2 linked regions of the Rattus norvegicus genome follow. Each later gene encodes a partner of the first gene's protein in a complex. Links are inferred from orthologs where the notes say so. Each region holds a gene or a part of one and is shown on either strand. Other genes may lie near its edges.

Region 1 (4,212 bases):
AGAGTTGTTTAGAGAACAGAACTCCCCCAGAAGGAAGCAGGGCAAAGCAGGGAAATGGACACTGACTGGGGGGCAGCAGAAGGGGCTCTGGGTGACGCATGCCTCTGGTCTAATAAACTGGGTTTCAACCATCTCTTCAGTGTTGGTTTTCTGTTTGTTGTTTGTTTTGTGTTGAGACAGGGTTTCTCTGTGTAGCCTCGGCTGTCCTGGAACAGCTCTGTAAACCAGGCTGGCCTCGAACTCACAGAGATCCTCCTACCTCCCAAACGCTAGGATTAAAGGTATGAGCTGCCAGCACCCTGCACTCTGGGTGTTAACCTTTAGATCGGAGCTTGCCTTGAGGGCCACACAACTAAAGAAATTTGGGTGGTAGTCTGGTGTGGTGGTTCCACCTCTAATTCCAGCGCATAGGAGATGGAGCAGCTGTTTTCCATCACACAGTGAGTTTAACGCTAGACCAGGCTATTCGAGACCCTACATACTTGATCAGGTAAAAACACTGATCCACCTGGAAAAGAACAAATTCAGGAATCCTCTGTTCCCTAGGCAGTGGACCAGCAAAGTAATCTAAAGCAACAGATATCCGGGTCTCTTTGGAGAAGATTCAAGGTAAAAGAATTCATTAAAATCTGAAGTTAAAGGTCTGAGGTGAAGGGCTAAGTTCCCGTGCCGGGGAGCTGTTAAGCCATTATTTATTTATTTATTTATTTATTTATTTATTTTTTTTTTTTTTTTTTGGAGCTGGGGACCGAACCCAGGGCCTTGCGCTTCCTAGGCAAGCGCTCTACCACTGAGCTAAATCCCCAACCCCTTAAGCCATTATTTATAAGATGAGGCCCTGGCTACCAGCCAGGAGACCCGAATCCAGGATGGCTTTTCTCTTATCTCGATTTGTCTTTGCCACGACATTCACCTCCTTTGAGTTCAGCTTTTCCGTTTGTAAAACGAACAAACAGCCTGTTTCCCTCTTTAGCATCCGGAGTCTGATCCGTAGGAAAACAAAAAGCAAACCAACCAGAATGCTTTGGAGAGGTAAACGCACTGGGCCGAGGTGAAGCATCACTCCAGCCGCCTGCGGGGTGGGCTGGGCTCTTTGCAAGGCCTTGACGTCCTCCAACCGCCCGGGGGCGCTCGCTCCCGGCACTTCTTTATCAGCACACCGCCTCTCTATGGTGCTCCCTCCTGGCCCGTGAAGGCGGGAGGGAGTGGTCAGCACGCCTTTCCCGCTAGTCGCCCCCTCTAGCCCGTAGTCTCGCTGCCCCGAGCCGCCCGTGCCCGCCGGCGGGCCGGGCCCACAAACAGCCCAGGCGCTCGGGGGGCGCGCGGGGGGCGGGGGGAGTTCCGGTTCCGGTTCTTTGTGCAGCTGCAGCGGCGGCTCCGGGAAGATGGCGGCCCGGGCGGGTTTCCAGTCCGTGGCTCCGAGCGGCGGCGCGGGAGCCTCAGGAGGAGCGGGCGTGGCGGCTGCTCTGGGCCCGGGCGGAACTCCCGGGCCTCCCGTGCGAATGGGCCCGGCGCCGGGTCAAGGGCTGTACCGCTCTCCGATGCCCGGGGCGGCCTATCCGGTGAGTGGGACAGGAGGAGGGGCGCGCGGGCCGGGGGCGGGGCCGAGCGAGGGCGGAGGACTGACAGGGGTGAGGGAGAAGTGGGAGGGACTCCCTAGGGAGGGGCTCGGGCCGGGAGTGGAGGTGGGGGAAACTGAGCGGAGGAAGAGTGGGGGGAAGGAGGTTAGCATCCTTACCTGCTCCCAGCGGCATTGTTTCCGTGTGAGGAGCGAGTGTGGAACCAGGGTGGGTGAAGTGGGCCCTGGGATGGGCATGGGATGCAGAGGGGAATGGGCAGCCCCAGTGTCTCCAGGAACACCCAAGCTATTGCAGCAAATTGAGGTCAGCCTTAGAGGAGACAGCAGCTAGTTTAAAAAAAGAAAAAAGTAGGACTAGAAATGTCTGATGAGTCAGATCCAGCATAGATCAGAAAATTCAAGTATAATCTAGTTTTTAGACTATATTCCATTAAATCACTAGTAGGCCTGAAGAAGCTCCAGTTACCATATTTCAAAGAAGCAAAGGATTGTCTTGTCCTCCACTCTACCCACCCCCCAGCCCTACCCCATCCCTGAAATCCAGCCTTCCACCACTTTTCCTTCCTTGGTGGGGCTAGCATGGAAAAATATGACATCTCTTGGTCCTCTCCCTTCTGTAGAGACCAGGTATGCTGCCAGGCAGCCGAATGACACCTCAGGGACCTTCCATGGGACCTCCTGGCTATGGGGGGAACCCTTCAGTCCGACCTGGCCTGGCCCAGTCAGGGATGGACCAATCCCGCAAGAGACCTGCACCTCAACAGATCCAGCAGGTCCAGCAGCAGGCGGTCCAAAATCGAAATCACAAGTAAGATGCCCCCTGGGGTGAAGGAAAGACGGGGATGGGAGGAGGCCTGTGAGGATGCTGATGCTGGGAGTCCCCAGGAAGTCAGGCGCTGCAGTATCAAATGGTGCTGCAGGGACTCACCCTTTTGAAGGCTCTCTGGCCTCGTGATGAAGTGGAGTTTTTGTGGTACTGGGAGATGGAGAGTCATCCCGTAGGCCGTAGTAGCTGTACCATAAATGGAGGTGCTCACAGCGATGCTCATGTTTTGACTAGTTCCTATCCCAACCTGATAACAGTATTTATTCTGAACAGTGCAAAGAAAAAGAAGATGGCTGACAAAATCCTACCTCAGAGGGTGAGTGCAGCAGCTGTAGAGGCCTTCCTGAAGGGGTAGTGGCTTTGAGAATAGAGGTGGTCAGCTCTAGGGCCTGACCCTATCTTTCTGTTCCTAAGATTCGGGAATTGGTACCGGAATCACAGGCCTACATGGATCTCCTGGCTTTTGAAAGGAAACTGGACCAGACTATTATGAGGAAACGCCTGGATATCCAGGAGGCCTTGAAGCGGCCCATCAAGGTACCAGGAGAGTACCAGAGGGTCACAGGAGGGAGCCAGGACGCTCCACCAAGCTTAGGAAGAAAACCCAAAGGCACAGCACATCTCTCTTTGGCATTTAAACTGCATCTTTCCCTTCTGCCTGCAAACCAGGAATTACATCAGGAGCATAGGAGTGGGGCGGCTGGCAAGGAGAGGGGGGGCTTCCCACTCTCTTCAGCAGAAACACACCCTGTCCTTGTTTTTGCTCCTCGCTACCTTGGGAACCTGCCACTTTGCACGACTTTGTCTCCCTGGCACCCTGGCACATTTACTCAGGCCCAAGTCAGGGCCTGTTTGCTCCTCAGTGGAGTCCTTATCCATCTACAAAGCCAGCCTGGTAGGAGTGACCTGGGAGCTTTAGGGAACCTTGTGCTCTTGAAGCCCCACGGTCAATCCTGTTTCTGCCTTCCTCAGCAAAAACGGAAGCTGCGGATTTTCATTTCTAACACATTCAATCCGGCTAAGTCGGATGCCGAGGACGGGGAAGGGACTGTGGCTTCCTGGGAGCTCCGGGTAGAAGGACGGCTCCTGGAGGATGTGAGTTCAGGGTCCATGGTGGTTGGTGCTCAGGGTGGGAGCTGTTGGGAAGGAGCAGTGCTGTGTGGTCAGCAGGAAACCTGACTGGTGTTCACCACTCCTGCTGGGAGCTTCCGGAAGGGGGTTGGGGGTGCTGTGTTCCCTGCCTACAAAGACAATGGTCCTTTGTGCCTACTCTCACAGCTTCTCTGGTATCAAGTGGAAACCTTTGTTGCTCTGGGGTCTGGGTTGTTGTTTACTTTGCCTGGTGATGCTGCCCTTCGGATTTCAGTGCTCACTTATCCCCACCACCATCTGTGCTTAGTGTTTGAGCCCATGTTTCCTCCCTTAGGTCCTTGAGGTTATTTCTGTCTTCCCAGGTTTCATTGGAGGCACCACAGTTTAAGTACGATAGCCCCCCCAAAGGCTTGGCTCTTTGTTGCTCATCAGACTAATGAGCACCCCAGACTCTCCACCCAGCAGCTCATTGGGGAGGCTCGCCGTTCCCTCAGAGCTCTGCACTCTGACACTTTTAAACTGTGTGCAAGTGAGCTCGTCTGATGCACTTTTGCTGGGGAACCGAGCTGCCTCTGGGTAGGTCCAGGCTATTTGCTGGTCATGTGTTCTGTCCAGAGAAAGGCAGGTTTTGTTCCCCTGCCTCTGGCCTGGGATTCATTTGCCCTCTGCTGTCAGGCTTTCCTCTGCTCAGATGTGCTTTGTTGTGCTAGCGGTT
Region 2 (4,425 bases), about 3.4 Mb from region 1:
CGACCCCGTGGAAGACATAAACTTTACTTGGGAAATAAATCCGTTTCCTAGAGTGAGCACCGGAAGCACGCTCCGCTGTATTACATAATTCTTTTTTTCCCTCCCCTCCCCGTCACCCGATAGGTGCTCCCATCGGAAAAGACTACCTGAAATAACCCATCCTGACTCTTACTATCCTGTGACCTTGGGCTAGTGACTTTGCCACCAGTGGCTGTCTCTAAAATGGGAATCCTAATACACCAAAGGGGAAGCATGATGCTCAACCTTTGTAAACCGGGGAGGGTTCCAACACCCGGTCGATACAAATTTAAGTGGTGCTTTTATTCTAGAATAAAAATTTTTATTTCCCTATTTACACATTTAAAAAAAAAGAATCAACACAGAAAACTGAAGGGGTGAAAACATTTTGCCCTCTTTCAGATACGAGTGCAAAAAAAAAAAAAAACCCTCCATAAGCAATGTTATTCTCAAAGTTGGGAGGTTATTTCCCCAACAGGCGCGATGACCGTTTGCATACCTCCTGTTGGGTGCACCAAACCGACCAAAAACGGGAGGACGACTTAAAAGCCTTACTCTATCTCCACTAAAGTAGGGCAGGCAGTTCCCAGCCTATTTGATCCCACAGTTTGTCAAAGTGAGTTTACGGCCCCATCATGGACCATGTGCTCATCGGGCTTCCTTCAAGCATGAAGCCCAGAGGCCGACGCCTCCTGCTAGAAACGTCTCCAGAGGGGGCGAGCGGACTTCTCCGCGACCGCCCGGGCTGCGCCGCCGTGCGAGCCTCCGTGTGGCGGGAGGCCCGGCGGGCGTCCGCCGGGGGACGCGAACATCGCCTCCACCCCTAACCCCGGAACAACCGGTAGTGGCCGTTTCCCCGCGCCGCCCCCCTTTCCGCCCGCTTTGTGTGCGTGTGAAATGTGCTGCACATTGCAGATGAACCCTAAGCCGGGCGAGCCGAGTCTATTGTTCCCCGCGAGGAGCCGCCGCGACCGTGTGGAGCCAGGCGCAGTGCCGCGGCCGGCCCTCGGGGGGCGCTGTGCGGCGCTGGCGGCCCGGCCGTGGCGGCGGCTGAGAAGCAAGGCTGGCGGGCAGGCAGGCCGGCGGGCGGGCGGCGCGCAGCGGCTCGGCTGCCGCCGGAGCCTGTGCCCGGGGACTCCCGGGCCGCCGCCGCCGCCGCCGCGCGTGAATGTGTGCGAGGGCCCCGCGGAGCCGCGGCCCGGATCCACGCTGTCACCCCGCTCTCCACAAGCCACCACACAGACCTCCCCCTCCCCACGCGGCCCCGCCTGCCCCGGCCCCGCCGCGCCGCCGCCGCCGCCGCCGCCGAAACTCCCAGGCCTGCGGCCGCCCGGGCCCCTCGCCTCCGCTCGCCCGGCCCCCGGCCGGCTCGTGCGCCCCCGGCCGCAGCACCATGTTGAATCGCGTCCCCGGGCCGAGCCGCCAGGGCCGGCGGCGCTGAGAGGCGGCCAGAGCCGGGCCGCGGGAGGCGGCGAGGCAGGGTGGGGGCCGCGTTCGCCCCGCGGCTCCGCGCCCGGCCGCCCGTCGCCTGCCCCTCTAGTTTCGCTCCCGTTTCTTTAAACTTTTTTAGAAATTCCCCTCCCTCCGGCCCTGCGCTCCCCCTGGCCTCCCGCTCCCTCCTTCCCCTCCTCCTCGCCTCCTCCCCCTCCCTCCTCCCTCCCTGCGCCGCCGCCGCCGCCGCCGCCGCCGCCGCCGCCACCGCCGGCCCATGACTGAGCCCCGCCACCGCCGGCCGAGGAATGGGCTCCGGGCGCTGGTAGGGAGCGCGGGGAGCGGGGGCCGCGTTTGAACCGCGATCTGGGTTTTCGGGAGACCTCCTTTGGCAAAATAATGGCAAACTCGACGGGGAAGGCGCCTCCGGACGAGCGGAGGAAGGGACTGGCTTTCCTGGACGAGCTGCGGCAGTTCCACCACAGCAGAGGGTGAGAGCAGGACCGGGGGGGCAGCACCGGGGCGAGCCGGGGCGAACGGGGCCCGCGGCGGGCGCGGGGTCCCGGTGACAAGTGCGGGGCTTTCTGTCGCCCGCAGGTCGCCGTTTAAGAAGATCCCTGCGGTGGGTGGGAAGGAGCTGGATCTTCACGGGCTCTACACCAGAGTCACTACTTTAGGCGGATTCGCGAAGGTGAGTGGAAGTTTTAATTTGTATTTCCCTCTCGCTGGCCTGCTCGGAAAAGTCTGCTCCGGCCCGGGAGCCGGCGCCCGGGGCCGGGGGGGCGGTCGGCCGGGCACACGGCGTTCTCGGCGCTCGCAGCCGGTGGCACGGAGGCGGCCGGCGGCGGGGCTGTTTTCGGCCTGGTGGCTCGCGTGCGCGCGGCGGGCGCGGGGCTGGGCGGGCGGTGCGGCCCGGCGGCGGGGAGCGCCCTGCCCGGTGTCCGGCCGGCCCCGCGGGGTCTGAGCGGCGCGGCGGGGAGCGCGGGCGAGCAGAGTGCTCGCCCGCCCGCCGAGCCCCGCGCCCGCCCGCCCCGCGCCCGCCCGCGAGTCAGCGCCGCCGCCGCCGCCGCCGCCGCTGCCGCTCTAGCACAGGCGGAGACACAGAGACACACAGACTCTGAGCAGTTTTCGTGCAACTCAAAATTAGCGCGGGCAGGTTTAACATCGATAATCGGCTGCGAAATGATCCCGGCGGCCGGGGGCACAGCCTCGGCCCGCTCGCCCTGGCTTTCTACAGCTAACAAAAGAAAGCAGGACCTGTCTGCAAATAGCCATCTTAGGCTTCAAGGCTAGGCAGAAGCTGTAGGCCTCAAAGAAGGGCCTATGGAGATGGATAGATCTGGGAGAGGGATCGGAGTCGGCCCCGGCCCCGGCCCCCCCAGAGCCCGCGGACGTCGCTGTCCGGAGCAGTATTGATCCTTTTGAACTTTTTTTTTCTTTAGTGTAAACGGACCGCGTTGAGGTTTAAAAGGGGGCGACAGAGGGACTTGCGATTGGTTATTGTCCGGGCTTCAAAAACAAAACAAACCCACCAACCCCCCCAAAAACAAAACAAGTGCTGCTAAATACAGGGTTTTCTGGTGAAAACACAGTGATTCAAGCAGCCCTGGCTTGGTAACTCTTGTGGCTCGACCCCAGACACCCACTGATCCTTAGGTACCCACAGATCTCTGCAGAAGGGTCATTTAGCTTCCAAGTTAGGGTAGGTTTTTCTTGGATTGGGCACTTTCAGACAAGTGTGCCTGTGTTTTTAACAGGTTTCTGAGAAGAATCAGTGGGGAGAAATTGTTGAAGAGTTCAACTTTCCCAGAAGTTGTTCTAACGCTGCCTTTGCTTTAAAACAGTATTACTTGCGGTGAGTAGTGGCGTCTTTCCCCAGTATTTGCAAACGAGGGACTTCGGGGCAATTAAACAACAAAATCTAAGCTCTAGACAGTTTCCAATCCCTTGTTAATTTCACTCTGAGAAGCATTTGCTGTCAATAAACTGAGATGGTAGGAGTCTGAAGTTTTCCTCAGGTTAAAAATACAGTCGTTTATATTTTTCATACAAAGCCATTACAGGTGACAATCCATATCCTATCTTGTAAACATTCTTTTGTGACATTGTTATTGACTGCTGGGTAGCCACTGAGGGCCAGAAAAGAAGGTGCTTAGTGAAAGACTTGGGATACTTAAGGAAACTTTGTAACCTGTGGGAAGATTTTTTCCCCCCTTCTTTATTTGGAAACCCCTTAACCGCCTACAATTTCATGGGTTTTTATTTTATTTTATTTTTTGTTTGTTTATTTGTTTGTTTAAAGAAAACTTACTGCATGGAACTGTTACTCTGCGTTTAATGGGATATTTTTTCATAAATAATTCAATGTAGATACCTTGGCTGATCAGAATTAACTTTTTGAACTCCTTTGTTATTTATTGAACTTTTGAGCGACTTAAAATTATCCAGTATCTTTAGGAATACGGGGATGGTTTGAGACCAGGTATTATAGTTGGAATTTTCTTTCATTTCCTTATATTTTGACTGCTTACTCCAGAAAGTCAATTTCTTGTTTATACGATCCAGTTAGATAATGTATTTTGTGACTTAGTGGTTTCTTCTTAGATTTTCTCCTATACTTTCATGCTGTACTTTATTTTGAAGGAAACTTTTATTTTTCTTTGATTACCACAGTAACCTTAATTATTTAAAATGAAAATAATGATCTTAATATTTCTAATGAATGTTGGTAATGGTGACATTACAAGATAGCCTGTTTTATATTTGCAATGTAGCTTCTGCATAATTTTAGTTTCATATTGCTTTAAATGCACTAGTCACTCTGTATAGCGCTTAGGATTCTGAAATAGGAAACAGGGTAATTGCACAGGTGGACTTCCTATTGGCTGCCTTAGATTGACTTCAGACTTCTTGCTGAAGAGTTCACAGAACTTGGCAGTTAGTGAGTTCCATAGGAACTCTAGAATATACCAAGGG

The links.
Region 2: Smarcd1 (region 1) and Arid2 share a complex: the UniProt entries of both Homo sapiens proteins name them as parts of the SWI/SNF-B (PBAF) chromatin remodeling complex. The link is inferred for Rattus norvegicus from reciprocal best matches to the Homo sapiens genes SMARCD1 and ARID2.

Annotation. Positions count from the first base shown.
Region 1 is NC_086025.1:132,707,247-132,711,458, forward strand, and holds the start of Smarcd1 (SWI/SNF-related matrix-associated actin-dependent regulator of chromatin subfamily D member 1), read left to right. Parts: upstream 1-1,380; 5' UTR 1,381-1,385; coding exon 1,386-1,562; intron 1,563-1,612; exon of another isoform or gene 1,613-1,787; intron 1,788-2,199; coding exon 2,200-2,387; intron 2,388-2,678; coding exon 2,679-2,721; intron 2,722-2,819; coding exon 2,820-2,942; intron 2,943-3,377; coding exon 3,378-3,500; intron 3,501-4,212. UniProt on the Homo sapiens protein: Involved in transcriptional activation and repression of select genes by chromatin remodeling (alteration of DNA-nucleosome topology).
Region 2 is NC_086025.1:129,324,782-129,329,206, forward strand, and holds the start of Arid2 (AT-rich interactive domain-containing protein 2), read left to right. Parts: upstream 1-1,589; 5' UTR 1,590-1,848; coding exon 1,849-1,940; intron 1,941-2,046; coding exon 2,047-2,140; intron 2,141-3,206; coding exon 3,207-3,304; intron 3,305-4,425. UniProt on the Homo sapiens protein: Involved in transcriptional activation and repression of select genes by chromatin remodeling (alteration of DNA-nucleosome topology). Required for the stability of the SWI/SNF chromatin remodeling complex SWI/SNF-B (PBAF).